2 linked regions of the Coturnix japonica genome follow. The protein of the gene in region 1 binds, or shares a complex with, the protein of each later gene. Links are inferred from orthologs where the notes say so. Each region holds a gene or a part of one and is shown on either strand. Other genes may lie near its edges. The genes, in order: TAF5 and TADA2B.

Region 1 (10,064 bases):
CTGAGGCGGGGACGCCACCGCAGCCCCCCGCCGCTCCCTCCGCCGCCGCCACCGCAGCCCCCCCCGCTCCGTCGGCCGCCGCGGCGGATGGGGAGGCGGCGGGGAGCGCTGGGGATGCGTCGTCCGCCAAGCCCTCGGCACCGGGCCCGGCCGCCTCCCCGGCGTCGCTGGACCGGCAGACTCTGGTGGCCGTGCTGCAGTTCCTGCGGCGCAGCAACCTCCGCGAGTCCGAGGAGATCCTGCGGCGTGAGGCCCGGCTGCTCGGAGAGGACATCGGAAACGCCGCCCTCAGCCCCGCCGGTGCCGGGCTCCCGGGAGCCCCGGGGGGCGAGGGGGATGCCAGCAGCAGCGAGGCGCTGCTCAGCCGGGTCACCGCCGCCACCGCCATCTCGATTGGAGGCGGCGTCGCCCCCGTCGCCTCTTCCAGCCCTGGGGTGGCGGCAGCGGCCGCGGTGCCTCCGGGGAAAGGTGAGACCCGCTCGGTGCGCATCCCGCTGCCTCGGGGCTGAGGCTCCTCTGGGGGCAGATAAGGCTGCACCCCAGTCCTCGGGGAAATAACCGGTTCTAGCAGTCCCCAGTGCAGCTCTGGAAGAGATTGCGATTTTGGGGTGCAGCTTCTTAGAGGAGGGTGTCTGTTTTACTTGCTGGGACCAGTGTCAGAGTGAGAGGTGTTTCTTGTTGTCTGTGGGTACCATCTCAAGAGCATCACGAGAGGCTGAAGATTCTCTTTGTAGAGGTGATGGCTCTTGTAGTCAGAGTTCTCTTTGTAGTTAGAGGTGATGATGCCGGAGCCCCAATGTACAAGCTGCTGCGTTTTGGAGAAAGAACAATATGGTACTTGTGGAGAAGGCTTCATGCATTTCTAATGCAAGCTGACAGCAGCTTTAGATGTTTGTCAGGGTAGTAAATTTTAATGAAGATATTCTGTGGGGTAGCTTTACATTAAAACTGGAAGCATTTCAGGAACTTATATGTCCGAATGGCAGTAGGAGTACAATATGAGGTCAGCTTGTTCCTGGCATCACTTTATAGGAGATTAGTGATTTTAAAGACTGCTGTGAGAGTGCTAGGAAGTGACAGAAAGTCACTGCCCTGGAATGGATGTGTAGTGGTCTTGATAAATTGTTCACTTGATTAACTTAATTTGCTTGCTCATTAAAAGCAAAATAATTACAGTGATTACATCTTATGGGCTTAAAAATATTCAGCTCCTCATTTGACAGTTTTTAGCCCTTGCTGTGTAGGATTGTGATGCTGACATCAGCTTCTTTCCACGTACCTGGTAGGCAACTTTTGGCAGGGAGGGCACAAAAGATGACAAATGGTACTTGAAGTATCAGTTGCTGGGCCACTGTCCTCTCTATTGTAGCACTTAAAGGTGCAAACACAAGACAATGTTCTGTTTTGTTCTCAGTATCTCACCTTAGCAGAGGAGTTGTTGGCCACTGTATATTTGTTATTTGTGTGTTGCTCTTTGAGGCAGCTGTACAATCTGTTCTTATATGCTGATGCTTTTGCAGTTGGAGGAGGTGTTGTTGTGGAGGATCAGCCAGATGTGAGCGCAGTGCTGTCTGCCTACAATCAGCAGGGGGACCCAACGCTGTACGAGGAGTACTACAGTGGTTTAAAAAACTTCATTGAGTGTTCCCTGGACTGTCATCGAGCCGAACTGTCTCAGCTGTTTTATCCTCTCTTTGTGCACATGTACTTGGAGTTGGTCTACAATCAACATGAGAGTGAAGCTAAGTCTTTTTTTGAAAGGTAAGTGATTTTGATTCGTGTAATTCCATTGTGTGGTGTTTGCTACTTTGATTAAGACTGTAAGCTGTAGTGGGTGGCATAGGTGTGTGTGTATGTGCATATATACATACACAAACGTGTTCTTTTGTAGTGCTGAGGGGACAATCTGTGGATTGCTGTAATTGTGAATCCTTTTCCAACCTCCAGTATTAGAAAGAAGTGCAAACTCCGTGCTTTTGAACAGTACACATGCAGATTTTCATGGTGTTTATACTGAGGTGGTGGGTTCCTTGCTGCAATGAAGAGATGATGCTGCGTTAGGGAAAATTGTGGGCTCATTTACTAGCACTTGAAAGTTGCACTGAGATCCAAAGCAGTGCAGTCTATAAATGCTTACTAATATCAAAGTATGTGTATTTAAATTCATCTAAGACTAAAGGAAATGGTTAATCATTAATGTACATTTTTCTGTGCTCTTACTGTGTTTCACATCTTTATCACTTGAGGATAAGTTTAATTTGTATTCTGGGATCAGATCAATTATGAAACATTTCGACCCATGTTTATCCCTCAGATATGGTCAGAAAAAGAAGTTCTTTAAATAGATAAAATGTTCCCTGCCACAAGTATCTTATAAATGATTTGAATTAAAAGTGGGAACTTATTTTCTCTAAATGTATGTTGGCTATTAGATAATGTGGGTGGAAAGTGAAGAATGTATCCATTGTTAAATGTGCTTATTCATATGATGAATCAGTTATAAATACATCCAGGTAGTCTTACATAATAAGAAATGCCTTGTACTTTATTGTACCACAAATTGAAGTTTCATTTATGTAAATAGATTAGTGTAACTATTTACTGCAGGCAATAACCCTTTGTGCATATGCATTTCTGTGTCCTCTCTTCATCTTGTTTTTTTGAACTCTTGGTTAATTTTACTGTGTGCTGTAAGTTGTTGATTCCTTGGGAACAAAATTTATTTAAGCAGAAAGCTCATTCCATATGTAGTTCTGTGAGGACCCTTTGGAACCCACTGTGTTTCACGTTAAAATTATCTAGTTAAGTGTGCACTTAGGAGATAATATTTTCCTAATGAATCTCTTCCCACGTGTTAAATTGTTTCAATAGATTTCATGGGGATCAGGAATGTTATTACCAAGATGACCTCCGTGTATTATCCAGCTTAACCAAAAAAGAACACATGAAAGGTAATGAGACCATGCTGGATTTCCGAACAAGCAAGTTCGTTCTGCGTATTTCCCGTGACTCTTACCAGCTCTTGAAGAGGCATCTTCAGGAAAAGCAGAACAACCAGATCTGGAACATTGTTCAGGAACATCTCTACATTGATATATTTGATGGAATGCCCCGTAGCAAACAACAGATAGATGCTATGGTTGGAAGCTTGGCTGGGGAGGCAAAACGAGAGGCAAATAAAGCAAAGGTAGGAGGAAAAGGATGTTGCTCTTTATTATTGAATGCTTTGAGAGTAGTTTTTCAGGAAGTACTATATTTGTTTATATGTATATAATCATACTATATATGATTATTGCTACTTGATATCTTAAAAGACAACATGAACTAAATAAAGGTTCTGTACAAATAGATGTTATCAGTAGTAGAGAAATGAAAATGTGTCACTGACTGGTGGAAGGAACTGTGAGAGACAATGCTATATTCTGTTTGCTGAACTAGATTTAAACTCATGATTTTGTTGTCTAGTTTTAACATTGACCCATTTCGCTTCCTCTCTAGTACAGCAGCAATAGTTCTCACTTCCAGTTATTATTGCAAAGGCTGTTGGGTAGATCTCAATAGCGCAGTACCGCAATGCTACACAAATAAATTATGGAAGTTGTAGGGATTTTGCTTCAGGGAAGAACTAAGAGGTGGTGGGAGAACTCACAGTTGTCCAGGTCAATTGTTGGCTAAAACAGTAGAACGTGTCTTACACTTGTGCCAGGCTAATCAGTAATGAATGCAGTAATGTTCAACTTAGTAGAACTATCCCTTTCCGACTAATGTTTGGAGTCTGATGAAAAATCAGTTTTCAGTAAGAGCAAAAATTACCATTATGTCATACATCTTTTATTGGCTTGCAGGTTTTCTTCGGCTTATTGAAAGAACCAGAGTTCGATGTGCCTTTGGATGATGAAGATGAAGAAGGAGAAAACGAGGAAGGAAAACCAAAGAAGAAGAAACCTAAAAGAGACAGTGTAGGATCAAAAAGTAAAAAACAAGACCCTAATGCTCCTCCTCAAAACAGGTACCAAGGGAGGATGTGTAGGGAACTTCTATTAAATCCAGTATTACCATGTTAAATGTGCAGTGCTGGTCACATGATGTTTTTAGCTCTTTGTCCATTTCAGCCGTAGACAGCTTTAGTTGTAAGATTTCAAGGGGGATAATGCAAACCTTAGCATGTAGCCTTCTGTCTTTGCCCTTCACATCAATCTAGATTTCCCTTGATTTTAGTTGCTTACTGTCTCATCTTTTCAAGCCATACTTAATTAGTTACCTTGTTTCACTACTTGTCTGGATTTCATAAAGCTATTGCTTCTTTTTCTCATCAATCTTTTACACAGTATTTCATTCTTCTGAATTTATTTTGATATTTGAATATTGAGGTGTAGGGTTGCATGGGAAGGTTCAGCTTTCTCTGTTTAAATTGACAATATGGAAAGTTCATAAAAATGTGTGCTTCTAGAATTCCTCTGCCCGAACTGAAAGACTCAGATAAACTGGATAAAGTGATGAACATGAAGGAAGCTGCCAGACGTGTGCGTCTTGGGCCAGAGTGTCTGCCTTCCATCTGCTTCTACACATTCCTTAATGCTTATCAGGTTGGTAAAAAAAAAAGACTTTGGGCAACATGAAAGAGGGAGTCAAAATGATAAACTTCACTCTTAATAAAGAAAGAAGACTGAAGAGTTAATGTTGGTTATCAGAGTATTTGGAACGTTCAAAATTTTATTTATAGACTTCATTAAACTAATTTCCAAGTTCCTTGGGTTTGCTCTGATTTTACCTTAATTCTTTCTTTCACTTTTCCTATGTGACCCTACTCTACAGAATACAGTAGATAGTTTGCACCAAAATACTGGGAAGCAGTTCTGCTCTGTCATCATTAACTACGCCTCATTTATATATCTTTCTTTTTCGTGGTGCAAGAATGTGTGTGTTTATTTCAAGCAAGTGTTTGTCCAAACTATTCTATTTTTATCAAATGAGCATAGTTAATTCTCTTTTTAGTGTTTAGGGTTTGGTAGTGTTTGAAATACACTGTGAAAAATACAAACAACATCAATGGCTATTTTGTCTATAGGGTCTAACTGCAGTAGATATTACAGATGACTCCAGCATGATTGTAGGAGGCTTTGCTGACTCTACCGTCAGAGTGTGGTCCGTGACTCCAAAAAAGCTACGTAGTGTGAAGGCAGCAGCAGGTAATTAAGTAAAAAAAATGTAATGTGAGTGTGTGTTGTTTGTGTTATGTGTGTTTTGTGTGAACAGAAGAATATGTCTATTGGGAGAGTTGTTTTGAGCAGCTGCATCTTGTTACTTTGAAGAAACATTGAGCACGGCTGTATAATTGTGTCTTGTAACTACAAATAGAAATACATATCTTTAAGGGAATGAGGTATCTGGTTGTGTACACCTACTGCTGGGCAGCCTACAAACGAGTGAACTGTTCTTAGTCATTGTGCTGAATCAAAAAGTGCTTGTGGTGTTCAGCAAATAGTAGCCTACAGATTGAAAGCTGTTTTAAGTTGTGTGTAGTGGGAAGCTGTCAGAACATCTGCAAAGTGTGTTTGTGCCGTATTAACTTCCTGGGAAAAGGCATGGAAATTTGTCATCTCAAGAAGTGTGTCCTGAGGCTAAAAAATAAACCCCTCAGGATTTTATCTTTTATGAGGTTTTATCTGTTATGAAGACTTGTTAAAGAGTGGTTATTTACATAAAGCATTATTGCCACCTTTTACAATGGTAGAAGTATTTTAAGTGCCATTGTTTATATTTCACCATTACCTATTTCAAGGTGTTTTTGTTTATGAGTTTTTTTATTGCTTTTGGGGAAAATGCTATTTGTTTTCATGGCATTTGATGAACCTCTGACAGTTGTCATGATGTGTGAACTTTTGAAATCTTGCAGACCTCAGTCTAATTGACAAAGAATCAGACGATGTCTTGGAGAGGATCATGGATGAGAAAACTGCAAGTGAGTTGAAGATTTTATACGGTCACAGTGGACCTGTCTATGGCACCAGCTTCAGTCCTGATAGGTAAAATAAAGTTTACAAGCTAATTAGTTCGCTTGTGTTGAATCTTAATAGTGTGCTATGAATGTGAACGTGTTTATAATGCGGCTTTTACCAGAAGATCAAAGTAACTCTTGTATCTTCTTTAAAATAAGAGATTTGAAAACATTATGTAAGCTACACAAGAGACAACCATCACAGAAATACAGCTGAGAAGTAAGCTTTGTGTGGAACATGATTATAGAATCTATATACAGCCTATAGTCTATATAGAGAGTCTATTCATAATTTGTTAATAATTAAGAAAAAGATTTCATACCGAGTTCACATTCAGGGAATCTTACCATATAGTTTAGAGTTGCATTAAGATTATTCTAAAGTAATATAGTGTAGCAATCTACTGCTTTTTCCCCCCGCATGTGAATGTAATTCTTAAGTGAAGACTAGTTCTTTTTTGCAGCCCCTCTGTATTGCTGTGTCATCAGAATTAATCATCAACATTCAAATGTCTCTTATGCTTGACAACCAAGGGTTCAGTTCTTCCCGAACAGTTTATTGTTGTTTACTTCAGTAAAATGCTGATTTTAATGGGAAATACTAAATAGTAGCTGCCCAGTGGAGAGTTCTATGTATCATAGAATTGTTACAGAGCTTATGCAATGACTACACAGTCTGTTAACTTGGTATGTAATGTACTATACTTTCTCCTGTGACAGGAACTACCTGTTGTCCTGTTCTGAGGATGGTACTGTCAGATTGTGGAGCCTCCAAACATTCACTTGTCTGGTGGGATATAAAGGACACAACTATCCAGTATGGGATACGCAGTTCTCTCCTTATGGGTATTATTTTGTGTCGGGGGGACATGACAGAGTGGCTAGGTAAGAAATTAGATGAGTTTTCTACATACCAGTTTTGTGGTGAATTAACTCAGAAAGTGATTATTGGCTGATATAGTTAATAACCTATTACTGGAAATAAATTTTATTACACACGAATTAAAATACTAAGCAACTATTTTAATATATGTTTGTTTTCCTTTTCAACACACATCAGAGACATCATCCTCCTATGTGGTCATTTCATGTTAGAAATATTTTCTCCTGTTGTTTAATAACCATGACAGAATGTCCTTTATTTCTCCCTTCCCAAAAGCATAGTTTTCCAGAATCGATCCTTCTAATTCAACAAATTTACCAGTAAGAAGCCACTCATTAATTATTTCTTTTATTACCGTGCAACAGATTCTGAACTTCATTAGTGCTCCCTTTATTAACAAAGCTTTTCTTTTCAGACTGTGGGCAACAGATCATTACCAGCCTTTACGGATATTTGCTGGCCACCTTGCTGATGTGACGTGTACTCGATTTCACCCTAACTCCAACTATATTGCCACTGGCTCAGCAGACAGGACTGTACGGCTGTGGGATGTTTTAAATGGGAATTGTGTAAGAATATTCACTGGACATAAGGTAAAGGCACATCACCAATGTGACTTAATTTCTGTGGTGTGATTCTGAAGAGTAGCATTCAGAACAAGTGCAGATTGACTAATTAGCTCGTTTGGCTTTCCTCACTGCAAATGTCTTTTGTAGGGTCCGATTCATTCATTGGCATTTTCTCCTAATGGACGATTCCTGGCTACTGGAGCAACAGATGGCAGAGTTCTGCTGTGGGATATTGGACATGGTTTGATGGTTGGAGAACTGAAAGGGCACACTGACACTATCTATGCGCTCCGATTCAGTAGAGATGGGGAGATCTTAGCATCAGGTAAAAGTCACTGGAAGCAAACATGTTTCCATTGTGCTCCATCTGTTTGAAGTGGGATTATGTAATGATAATGTACCTTAAGCTGAGTAAGGCTAATTAGAATCACTAAATCCTGAGTGAGCCGCTACCACAAGAGTGAATGGTTCCTTCAGCTGACCAGTGCTCCAATGAAAGCAGAGTCCACTGGGCCTGCAAAATACTGAGCTCTTCCCTCTATCAAAGGAAGTATCCAAGTGTCAAGAAAAAAGTCATTATGTGACTTAGAATCATAAACATCTGGTGGAGTTGGCATGTAGGCCTAAGGTTGTTTTGCCTTTTCAAGTGCTGGCTGATAGAATGGAAACCCAGCTGTTCTCAGAGGTGCTTCTTGGCACTTTATCTGCAGTGCATTCCTGTTAGATGGCAGGTGATGGCTTTTATTCCTGCTTTCACTGTGTTAAAGGCTTGTTTAAAAATGCTTCGTTGCAGGATGAGTGCTTAGTATTCAGTTATGAGCTGTTCTGCTTTGTGAGTTTTAATTCCTGTTGTGTTAATTTGCTGTCTAGCAAGGAAAAGACTTTTAAATGTTACTTTCCTTTTTTCCCTTGTAGGTTCAATGGATAACACAGTTCGGCTGTGGGATGCAGTGAAAGCATTTGAAGACTTAGAAACGGATGACTTTACTACAGCCACTGGACACATAAACTTGCCTGAAAACTCCCAGGACTTGTTACTGGGTACATACATGACCAAATCAACTCCAGTTGTACACCTTCATTTTACACGCAGGAACTTGCTGCTGGCTGCAGGAGCCTACAGTTCACAGTAGATCAGGAAGACGTAAGACTGGCTGTGCCAAGTTGTTGCAGCAGTGACCTCAGAATGTGAGATGAAGAGGAATGTCTTGTATGGGTGGACTTTGTTAGTCCATTGCAGGAAAAACAAAACTGTAAACTAACTCAAGTGACATCTTCTCTATTCTGCTCTCGTAATTCACATCTTTTGCTCTCACAGTTTGAAAATGCTGGAGACTGACAAGACAGTGTGAATTTAAAGGAATTGTTTCATGGTGCTTTTGATAAATGTATCCATATGTATATATATACATACATACATGTATATATATGACAATGGCTGTCTCCTCTCAGAGATGGTATTGAGCTCTGCTGAAACTTCTGGAAAGTTAACAGCCCTGGTCTGTGTTCTCAAATGAGTTTTTTTAAAGCACTTAATATATGGTTTGCTAATGTTTAATCAGTCTCAAACACAGGTGAAAACTTCAGACTCAGAAAAGGAGAATGTAGTTTAACTCACTATAGCCTGGGCTGGGCAACAGGAATGGTGAGAATATTATAGCAACAAATAGGGCATTGAAAGAATAAGCCCAACAGGCAGAGGCTTGTGGGGAACTGCAGAGAAGTTACGTGTAGTTTTTAAGTACCAAGTCCTGAAAAGATTTCAAACTTTGTGCTCTTTTGAGGTATTAGAAATGGAGATCTTGTTATTCTGTTCTGACAAGAAGCTGCTGCTGTGCGATAAGGAACGCAGATTGCAATGTGAATTCTTTGGAGACACGCATCACCCAATCTTAAAAACAATATTCTTAAGCCCCCACACGTTCTATTAGATTTGAAGAGCTTCAAAAACCTGCATCCTTTGAGAAAACAGTTTAACAGATCACACTAAAGCTAGTGAAGGATCAAGAAACTGAAATCTGAATTCAAGAAAAAGAAATCTGCTGGCTCTCTACTGAAGATGCAGAAAACCAAGACTTGACGTTTCCAAGGTAAACAAAGAACTACCTCCTGTCTCATCCTTTTTCTGACTAAGCCTTGGAGTAAAGAGGCATCGGGGCATTAAATGTCAAAGGAAAGGTGGAAAATTCATAAGGAAGCTAATCCAGAAACATTCTTTAAAGAGAAATGGTTAAAACTAAACTATGATGGATTTGATCTGTAAAGGTACATCAGAACTTCCTAGTAGTCAATACGATCAGCTGGACTTAAAATGGTAGTGAATCAAACAAGTTACCTAAAAGCATGTACAGCTTTGAGAGCTTGAAGAAAACACTGCTGCATTCTGCCTTTTTATTTTGTACAGTTTTATACTTTTGATAGTATAATAAATACTAAAACCACACAGCTTGTGTCTGTAGACTGTATGGTGGAAGAAGATGCTTTCTTTCCTTGACAGCTGCAGTGGATGTGAGAGCAATGCTTTTAAAAGCGAGTGCTCTGCTTGGAGAAACAAGGGAGTTAGTTCAACAGCTGATGATTTAACTAAGATTTAGTTCTAATTGTATGTGATACA
Region 2 (10,539 bases), on another chromosome or scaffold:
GTACAAATGTTTGTGAATTCTGACCTCTAAATAAAAGATGAGGGAGAGCAGACATCCTTTCTAATTGTTCAGCCCTTTTAGATCAATAGTCAAGTTAAGTTGATTGACTCAAGAAAACCATCTAATACTTGTATGGCATTGAAGAACCAATACAACTTACTTATCCTATCTATCTCTGGATTTTTAATTTAATATTTAAATTGATTTAATGGATTTTGATAGACTTGTAACTTTCAAGCTCTGCCATCGGTTTGTTATGCAAGATGTAGTTAAAACTCCACTGAGAGTCAGAATACCTGAAGTGGTATCTGCTACATTTAGAGCTACACAAGTAATTGTAAGTGACTCAAACAACAGTGTGAACTCAGTTTCATTTCTTGTGTTTGCTCACCTTGGATCTTGGGCTGCAATAGAACTTTTCCCATGTGCAGCTCTCATCACGTGTAACTGCACCTGCTGCACCCCATTCTGCAGAATGAGGCTAAAATACTGTGCCAAGAGCGGCAGAGTGCTCTGCTCTATGTTCATCTGGTCATGTTGAATGGATGGGACATGCCAATCTACACACCTGACAGAGTGTCTTCCCTCAGATCCTCAAGGCACATACATGTAACACACCAGACTGAAACATCAGAATCACACACGTTATTTAGGACCTGGTAGTGGAACAGTAAGGGCTTCTGAATTTTCCATCCTCACTGCTGGTGGTTTGAACAAAGGAGCTTCTTAAGTTCACGTGTCAGTTGAGACTGAGATTTTAGTAATGAATTGACCAGCTCCTTAGATGGTGTCTTTGTTAGACTCCGTTACTTTATTTAAGGTACCGCTAAACGCAGCTTACTGGTGAGTGTGCAGCACAGGACTCAAGCTTGTTTCCTTAAAACTAAGTGAATTCTGAACAACGTCTGAGTGAAATAATTCCTTCTCCTCAGTGTGCCCCTGCAGAGGAGGTAGCATACAGGAAAGCCTTTGCTGAGCTCTCCAAGCACCCGTGTGCTGACAGATGACAGCAGAATACAGTGAAGAAATGAAAAAGTGTGTGGCTCTGAAGTGTAAGAACAGCTAATAAAGCTGCCACTGCTACCTCTGGCCTAAGCTGGTTTGTTACAAGCACTTCACGCATCAGCATGTAGCTAAAACACATCTCTGGTCACTGCTGCCAGGGCTTTGGCTGGTACAATGAGGAAAAGGGCTACGTTACCATGAAATCAATAGTGGAAAGAAACTTTAATACAAGTTTATTTACCAATATACAATGCAAAAATCTAGTAAAATGCTGAGTGTGCACAACATCAGTTAGGTTTTACATGATTTCAGCACAGACATTTGTGTGCCTGGCACAGCTACGCCAGTACACTATGCAAATGAGTGCAACATTCCCTTTAAGGAAGAAGCTGATGAACCAGAGGTGCTCACCAGGTACCCTCCTTCACAGTATTGAATTCGTCATCACTTAAGAGCACCTGGGGCACAAGCAAAAACACCTTGCAAGGAAGAGCAGTAAACCAAAAGGCTGACGCAGCCGATTACAATTGCAAAGAAACCCAGTGCAGCCACCATGCAAGAGAAGAACGACAGAGTGCTTCAGCTTTGTGATCCACAAGGCCATTTACAGGCAGAGGCTCCAACACCTCTTAATGCCATTCTTAACCCTGGCTGGGACTGCAACAGAACATAGGGCAGGAAGGGCTGTAAGCAGGACGCTGTAAGGAGCCCTCCTCATCTGTTGTATGCACAGAATGAAGGTTAATGCTCCTTTGCTACTCAGTAAGTTGTACTGTAACGCACGGCTGAGACTGATGGAAGCACGTGTACAGCAATACAACAGGCCGACTGCCGCCATCTACCAGCAGCAGGTCAGACTGAGCAGCTGACAGCACTTTTCCATCGGCTTGCATCAATGCTGTTAGGGCAGATCCTATCGTTAGCATTATTTTTTCATTCAAAAATAAGAGCATTAAGCATTAAACAAACAAACCAACCAAGCACCTCTTCATTAGCAACACGAAGGCCAGGGTATCGGTACAGTACAGGAAGTGCTTCCTGACAAACACAAGACACAAAGTTGAAGAGTTTTTGCATCGCTTTTTCTCAGCCCCTTCACCACACGAGAAGCAGCACAGCTCTACTAAATCGCCAGCTTAAGATAACTGCATCTGTGCTTGAGAAAACAAAACAGCAGCTCGTAACAAAGGAATGCTTAGACTATGTCAGTTCCATCTGAAAACACGGGACAGCAGCATCCTCTAGTGCAAGTCACCTTTAGAATCGACAGCATAGCTGACAGTGAGACGCTGCTTCTAGGGAAACCCTTTCCAAGGGATCAGCATTTGCTACAGCAAACATTTACCACCTTGAATCTGCTTGCAAATATAAAATAAATATCGATATCCATATCTCATACATTAAAAATACTTTATTTTACATTCATCCTGATGTTCAATAAGTTACGTCTAGCACCAAAGAAACATTTTGGAAGGGCTGAGGAATTCAGGAACTACAAAGTGAATGCAGAATTCAGTTCTACAACGTCTAAATGAGTCATTGGTGCCGAGATACTTTTATTCTTCAATTACTGTTCAGATGGGCTTTAGGCTATTGCTTCAGTTAGGCTTAGGTGTGCCAAAGCACCGTAGGAATATAAAATTGAGATCTGAGGAAGATAGGAATAAATCAGAAACCCACATCTGTGTTAACCTCCCAGCTGCAGCCAGAGCCGGGCAGAGGAAGAACCGAATTGCATAACTCCAAGGCTGGAAAGGCTGAGCTTCCTTTCCACAGGAGAAGGACAGAGGAAATAATCAACAGTTCACACCTTCTGAACTTGTCTCGCGTGCGCTCTGTACGTGCATGTAGGTGGAAGAGGTTCTTAAAGCTACTGGCACACTGCAGTGAGTTACAACGCTGTCTCAAGTGCCCGAGAAGCCACTTCCAGGTGAGCCAAAGCACTCCTCCAGAGCACACAGCCCTTTCCTTTCCTGGAGGGACGTAACACCACAAGCTCAAAACAAAAAGGCACTAAGAGCTTTTTTGTGTGTTATTTTTCCCCTTCTCCTTAGAAATGCTGGCTTTATAACTGTACTCTCTGTATTCTAAACTCAGTGGTAACACTACTCTGATAACGCTGGAGATACTGACTCAAAACCAGTTCTGGTCAGCGTAGCTCTGCCAAGCTGCAGAATTAATACTGTTTGTAAGATGTCGGGGGCTCCTCTCTGACCACAGCCCGCGGCACCAGAACCAGAGCGCACCTCCCGTGTTCACAGCTGTTCTCAACTCAGCTCCACCTCCTGGCACACCCACACAGTGGAGCTGCTGCCCAGCCAGCCACCACGCACAGCCCAGGTGTGATAACACTGATGTCTGTCACACAGAATCCACTCTCCTTTATTAATTTCACGTGGCTGGATGCCAGCACAGGAATCTAAGAATGAAATGACGATAAAGAAAGGCCGCCTCTGCTCCTCCTTGAACACCTTTCCCTTAACCGGTATATACTACTAATACAGTGGGGTGGGTGAGGTGTTTCTATTGTGTTCTGCTGCTCTGTAACTCCAGCCCTGTGTGGCAGGGAGCGCAGCCCTCAGAGAGCTCTGACAACACAACAACACCAAAGTGGCCACTGCGGCAAACCGAGATCCATTCTGCCAACCACAGCGGAAACTTCGGCACATTTAGTCCAGAAGGTTTGGAGGTACATGCAGCCAGAAAGCTGCGACGGCTGCATCCACCGCTCTGCACTCCAGGAGCACAGAGCTGTGCGTTGTCATCTATATACTTTCCTTTTTAGTTTGTACAAACCAATCTCAGTGGCCGCTATGAGCTTCAGAACGGAGCTCCCTGTCCCCATCCCTCCCAGCAGCTCTCAGGAGGCAGCTGCAAGAGCTCAGGCTACACATGCTGGGCACAACAAACAGGAGAGGAAGAGCAGGTTCTCCTTGCAAAAGGAAGAGGTTATTTCACCACCTGAGGTTGCCAGGGCAGCATTCTGCCCGCTCTAAGCCACAGCTGGCCAGAACCAAACACTTCACTGCAGTGCTGAGCCCAGTGCAGAGCACACAGCTGCCCAGCCAAGCTTACACTTGGGTCAGGCAGCTCTCCAAGAAGCCTTCACACACAGCACAAATACCTGCAGGCACCTCATCTACCAACCCCCATCACAGCTCACCAGCGCTGCACCCCACGGAAGCTCTCACCCCACATCCTGACACCTGGGCTGTGCTAATGGCAGCGCTCCAAAAGCTCAGCAACGGCCACACCAATCCCTGCACCCCACATCTGACAGCTCAGGATTTCTGCAAGCTCTGCTTGGCTGCCATCACTGTGACAAAAAACATCAGGGAGAAGAAGAACTCAGCTGCTGAAAACCAGCTCTCACCTCCGAAAACAAAAAGAAAAGGAAAATAAAAGGCAAAGATTATGGCTGACATTGACATTGATCCAACAGTAAGGAGTGAAGTGATCACCCCAGAACCATCGGACTTGAGTAGGCTCACATGAAAGCAATCTCTTTGAGTAATGTAACAACAGTGTACTCTAACGAGTAATGCAACCGAATGGAGAAGTTTCACAATTCAGGGTTTTTCATGACCCAAAGCAAAAGTGTGCTGGGAGCTCAGCCCACAAGCACCGCGGGGGGGGGGGGGGGTTGTTTTTGCTTCTTTTGTTTTTGTTTGTCTGTTTTGAATGAGATAATTTCTGTATCTCCAGCGAGGGCAGGAAAAGGAAGGGAACTTGTCAGGTCTCTGATGCGGTGGCTCAGATGGATGGGCCTCATGACACGTCTCTGGATATCCAACCGCTCTCTGTTAGAAAGTTTAAAATCCTTTTCTTCAGTACCTTATCCAGGTAACTGGGGAGGCGGCTCTTGGAAGGAATCCCTTGTCTTTTCTGAAGATGGTCTTTAATGATGATGGTTTTTACAGTCACGTAACGCGCAGGACTCAAATTCAGAGAGCTGCAAAGCACTTTTTCCCTGTCCGATAAGAGTTCGAAACCAGGCAGGTTTTCAATGGCAGCAAATTCCCCTTCTTTGCCGTCCTCCTTCCCCCTCTTGGAGCTGGCAATGTTTTTGTTCTCCTTCCTCTTCTCCCGTTTATGTCTGGCTGCCTCGTATTCCGCCGACTCTTCCATTTTGGTGATCCCATTCCGCCGGTACCGCTGCAGCTCCCGGATCTTTGCTCGCAGCACCCTTTCCTTGTGCATGTTCTCAAAGAAGTCTTCAAACTCCTTACAGGACATGAACTGGTACAGAGGCCTCAGTTTCAGCCTCAACTCCTTCTCTTCTTTCGTGATCTTTCGTTTGGGAGTTTTCTCCTTGTCTTTCTTATCCTTCCCCAGGAAGGCCGGCACCAAGTTATAATCTCTCGCAATGTTCTTCCGCCGTTGCCTCTCCTTGAGTTTTCTTACGTACATGTCTACGTGAGCTCTTTTCAATTCTATCTCCACGTCATCATCGTCGTAGTTCACTGACAGGCCGCTGATCAGTGTCTCAGCATCCTGGTCGTATTCGATCTCGTAGTCGTCCCGTAGCGGCATGTAGCCCAACTGCTGCTGCTCAGCCACCGAGATGTCCAAGGGCGGGAGCGGCGTGGTCAGGCTGGGGGAGAGAGGCCCCCCGCTGGGACACGTGTGGTCCGTCACCCTGTTGGGGATGGTGTCGGGGATGCAGGCCTTGCCCAGGTTGCCGTGGATGTACATGCTCACGTAGTGCTCCATCACCTCCTGGGGTGTCCGGGATGCTCCCACGTGAGCGGCCATGTCTTCCTAAATGGAAAACAAGGAGGGGCAATAAGAAGGTTCCCGTTATACCTCCAGCACAGCACTCGCTCCTTCTTCCCTGCCCCTCAAAAACTGATTCACAAGACACCACGATGGCTCCTGAGTCCCTGAGCTCAATGTGTCACCTGCCAGAGTTCTGTTTTACAGCATTACTTTTGGAGCAACAGAGAAATAAAGAAAGTAATAGAGAAATAAATAAAGAAAAGGGGCACGGCTTCAAGCTGAAAGCAGGGATACTGAAGTTGGGGATGTTAGGAAGAAATCCTGTACCCAGAGCGCAGCGCTACACAGGACAGGCACATAGAGACCAGCCGAGCTCGGAGCAGCTCGATGCCCCGCACCCTTACAGCCCTTACTCTCCTTACCCAGTTTCCGAACCCGAACTGCTCGATGGCGTCCAGCAGCAGCTGCTCCTCCCGGCTGCTCCATCCACCCTCCGCCTCGGCGCCCCATAAGGTGAATCTGCCGCCGTCCACCAGCTGGTAGCCGTGCCATCGGCGGTGCGGGCCGATCTCGGCTCCGGCCGAGAAGCAGTCGGGGCAGAGCTCGATGTCTGCGCACTCAGTGCAGCGGAAGCGCAGTGAGCTCACCTCGGCCAGGCAGTACACGCAGTACTTCTTCCCCAGTTCCGCCATCTTACCCCGCCCGCCGCCTCCCCGCGCGCACGCGCGGCCCCGCCCCCGCTCACACGCGGCCAATGGCGGCGCTCCCGCCGGGAGGAGCCTCGCGCCGGGCGGCCAATGGGTGACGAGAGCTCGGGCTGCCCCTCCGGATCGCGGCCAATGGGGGCGAAACGCCCGTTGGCGGGGGGGATTCGTGTGAACGAGAGGCTGCGATTGGCCGAGCGGAGCCCTGCCGCCTTTCGGGCGACCAATCGGAGACGTGACCCCGGGCGAACCTGCCGCTCAGTGGTGGCCGGGGAGAGAGGGCGGGGAAAGGGGCGGGGCCGGGACAGAGCAGAGCAGTCACCCGGGCAACGGGGGAAGCGAACGGGAGGAGACATGGACGGGAACGGCCAGAACCCGGCAACGGAGGAGCCCCCGGCCGAGGAGCCCCCGGCATTGGAGCAACCCCCGGCCGAGGAGCCCCCGGCCATTGGGAGCAACCCCGGCCGGAGGCAGCCTCCGCATTGGGAGGCAAGACCCCCGGGCCGAAGGAAGGCCCCCGGCTTGGGCAAAACCCCCGGCCGAGAAAGCCCCCGGCATTTTGAGGAGCAAACCCCCGGCCGAGGAGCCCCGGATTGGAGCAACCCGGGGCCCGAGGAGCCCCGGCTATCTGGGAGCAACCCCCGGCCGAGGAGCCCCCGGCATTGGAGCAACCCCCGGCCGAGGAGCCCCCGGCATTGGAGCAACCCCCGGCCGAGGAGCCTCCGGCGTCGACGCCGGAGGAGCCCCCGGTATTGAGTGAGCCCCCGGTATTGGAGGAGCCCCCGGTATTGGAGGAGCCCCCGGTATTGGAGGAGCCCTCGGTATTGGAGGAGCCCCCGGTATTGGAGGAGCCCTCGGTATTGGAGGAGCCCCCGGCTGAGCAGCCCGGGGATGGCGAAGTCTCCGAGAGCGAACGCGACGCGCTGAGCGAGGACAGCGAGGAGCCCGAGGGCCCGACGGAGCCTGCGGAGCCCCCGCAGCCCGAAGGCGAAGCGGAGGAGGCCGAGTGCCGCGACGAAGCCGAGGAGGAGGAGGAAAGGGAGCGCGACGAGCTGCTGGCCGAGTACCGCGAGCTGGAGTCCGAGCGGCAGCGGCTGCACCAGACCGAGAGCCGCCTGCAGCTGCTGCTGGCGGAGCTGCTGAGGCCGCAGCGGAGCGAGCGGCGGGCGGACGAGGCGGGCGGGCAGCAGCTGTTCGCGGAGCGGCTGCGGGAGCTGCGGGAGCTTTGGGGGCGGAGGGAGCGGGAGGCAGAGAGCTGGAAGCTGCGGGTGGACGAACGGCAGAAGGACAGCGAGGAGAGCGAGGCCAGGGCCAGAGCCGCGTGGGCCGCCTTCCAGGCGAGGAAGAAAGCCGTGGCCGTGCAGACACTCGAGCGGCGGCGGGGCGGCAGGGAGGCGGCCCTAAGGACGGTGGGGGACATCCAGGCTCGGGAGAAGGACAAGGAGGCCGCACTGCGGGAGGTGAGTGCGGCACCGCCGGGTCCGGCCGCGAACACGAAGGGTTCAGCCCTCCGTCTGCGCCGAGCTCCTTCCCTGCCGAGCCGGGGATGAGGGGCGGGGAGCCATCCCTCGTGTGCCTCCATCCATCCCTCGCGTGCCTCCATCCATCCCTCGTGTGCCTCCATCCATCCCTCGTGTGATTCCATCCCTTGTGTTCTTCCGCCCCTCCAGGCCCGGCTGGAAAACATCAAGGTGAAGCTTGAGGTCCGAAAACTTGAGAGGATCCTGAGAGCCCAGAGAGAATCGATGAAAGGCAGCAACCGCGCAGAGATCAGTCTCATGAAGAAAGAGAACCAGCAGCTCAACGAAAAGCTCGAAGGCCTCAACTGCGAAGTTCTGAAGCTCAAGAGGAAAGTAGCTGACGTAGAACGGACCCTCAACTACATCAGGGAGAAGCTGCAGTTTGCGGAAGCTGAGAACCAAGGCCACAAGGCTGAGCTGAGGGACATCATGAGCGCCCTGAGGCAGAAGAGAGACGCTCTGACCAAGAGCAAGAAGGTCAGAGACAGGCTGAGGGCACACAGCGTGAAACTACTGCAGCAGCGCGGCCTGCTTGGGGAGGAGACACTGCTGAGGGACTTTGAGGAAAAGGTGAACAACATGGAGTTGTTACATCGGCAGCTGGAAGCACTGAAACATCGCCACGCTGCTCTGATCCTCAAAGAGAGGGAGATTCAGAAAAAAATGAGCAAAGCCAAATCATTTCTACCTTGATGAGGGAAGTAAAGCATTGAAAATAGAGAAAGCGCAGCCTTTTCTGTAATCCTCTTTTTAACATGTTCAATCCAGTAACAATCTGTACAACCACCACGTGTGACTTCTACACAGGTCCAGGAGACCTGGAGAATTAACTCAAGGTTAACTTTCATAGATGGAGCTGCGAGCTGGAGGAATGCTGGGGATTCACAGCAAACCCCACTTGCATACACACAGCGTACTATAGAAGGACTAACACCCTCATTCTGTTGACAGAACTGGCTGCAAATTTCATTATGGTGCTGTACAGGATGAAAGGTTACTGCTCCAAATATGTCTATTAAATTTCTCATTCCAAACTAGTCTGAATTTTGTGGTCTTTCAGCTGTTAGAGCTTTAGCAGGCACCATGTGGTGTGTGGTGGGGATGGAATAGCACAAGCCCACCACAGCTACAGGCCCTTTGCACTGTTCAAGGACAGCGCATCAGAAAGCCAGAAGACTGAAAAAAGGGGGAAGGGAGGGAGAAGGTGCCACACAGGGATGATCATACAGCTCATGGTGAGCAGCAGAGGCTGTCTGACAGAAAGTACATGCGTAGGAAGGAAATGTGTCGCTGTGTTTCTCCACATGGAAAAAATGGCGCCCCTGACATCCATCCACATTTGCTGAACATCTTTGGAGACCAAACTGTGGAAGGAGGAGATACCTGAGCTTTCGGTTTCTCAGTCGCACCGACAGCAGGTGATTAAGGTAACTTTACATGACTTTATTTAATAAAACCATATATTTACAGTTGAAAAAAGTTCCAGTTTGATACACGTATCTAAACGAAACCAGCTACATAAAAATGACTGAACCATGATGTACAGAGGATGTCTCAACAGTTCTCTATGCGTCCAGTTTGTAAAACATTCAAAAATGAGCTGCTGGAAGGAACCTTCCAACCCAGACTGAATCAAATGAGACACGTTAATGACTGATTGCTGACGGCGGCTGCAAAACGGCTTTGCAATAAAGTGCGGGTTGTACAAAACTCCAAAGCTGGTGACAATGCTCTGGATTCTCTGATCTGTTCGTACGGTGATGGTGGAAACCCACCAAGAAAACAATAGTCTGCTGAGATGGGGACGCTTCAATGAGAGAACACGTCACGCGTGACGTTACAAATCGCCTTCAGCACCTGAAGTAACGGTGTCACTATTTGTTATGCAATCCCTGAATCGATTACAGAAACCTTCCATAATATTGAAGAGATTTGGTATGCCGCAAGGAACTTAACAAGCTTGGTGGCAAGTAATTCTAAGCCATTACAACTCATCTCTGTTCATATCAAAATTCAAGTGTAGTCTTCAAGTTACTGAGAGGTTGGAACAATTGCATCTTTAGGCAGGTCATTTTGTTTTCAAATGCATTTTGTTTGATAATAAACTGTGCAAAGCTCCTCCTTATTGCATTGCTTTTCTTCATTAAAGAACATACCTTATATACACAAAGAAATCATCTGGAAAATATATACATCTCCTAAGAACAGAAAGATCGAATCACAGACCAAAATAATTACATTTGCAAGTAACAAACAGTGCACAAGTGTTGCAGCAGGCCTTTTCTCACAACTATGCCTATTTTCACTGTTACATTCAATGTGTTTTTGAGAAGAAAACAGGCTGCAGATGGCTGAGACAAACACCCAGTGGCTCCAGGATGCATCCCAACCAGACAGGTGAGCCACACGGACAACTTGGGTTCAACAGAAACACACACCAAGTTACAACGCAGACTGATTCACACAGCCAGTTACAGCACCTCCTACACAGCCCACCAGGGAGAGTTGTCTGTGTGTTTCAGAAATCCTTTAAAGCATAGTGCAAATGCTGCAGATGTTAGGCCTCTCATGCCCTTCATGAGAGAGTATTT

Evidence for each region.
Region 2: TAF5 (region 1) and TADA2B share a complex: the UniProt entries of both Homo sapiens proteins name them as parts of the TFTC-HAT complex. The link is inferred for Coturnix japonica from reciprocal best matches to the Homo sapiens genes TAF5 and TADA2B.

Annotation. Positions count from the first base shown.
Region 1 is NC_029521.1:20,663,416-20,673,479, forward strand, and holds the end of TAF5 (transcription initiation factor TFIID subunit 5), read left to right. Parts: coding exon 1-468; intron 469-1,520; coding exon 1,521-1,761; intron 1,762-2,871; coding exon 2,872-3,187; intron 3,188-3,845; coding exon 3,846-4,009; intron 4,010-4,450; coding exon 4,451-4,586; intron 4,587-5,068; coding exon 5,069-5,189; intron 5,190-5,896; coding exon 5,897-6,026; intron 6,027-6,718; coding exon 6,719-6,883; intron 6,884-7,296; coding exon 7,297-7,474; intron 7,475-7,597; coding exon 7,598-7,775; intron 7,776-8,365; coding exon 8,366-8,583; 3' UTR 8,584-9,896; downstream 9,897-10,064. UniProt on the Homo sapiens protein: The TFIID basal transcription factor complex plays a major role in the initiation of RNA polymerase II (Pol II)-dependent transcription.
Region 2 is NC_029519.1:72,520,867-72,531,405, reverse strand, and holds TADA2B (transcriptional adapter 2-beta), read right to left. Parts: upstream 6,464-10,539; 5' UTR 6,417-6,463; coding exon 6,147-6,416; intron 5,767-6,146; coding exon 4,774-5,766; 3' UTR 1,209-4,773; downstream 1-1,208. Other genes in the region: CCDC96 (coiled-coil domain-containing protein 96), read left to right, coding at 6,522-6,917, 7,028-7,888, 8,099-8,641. UniProt on the Homo sapiens protein: Coactivates PAX5-dependent transcription together with either SMARCA4 or GCN5L2.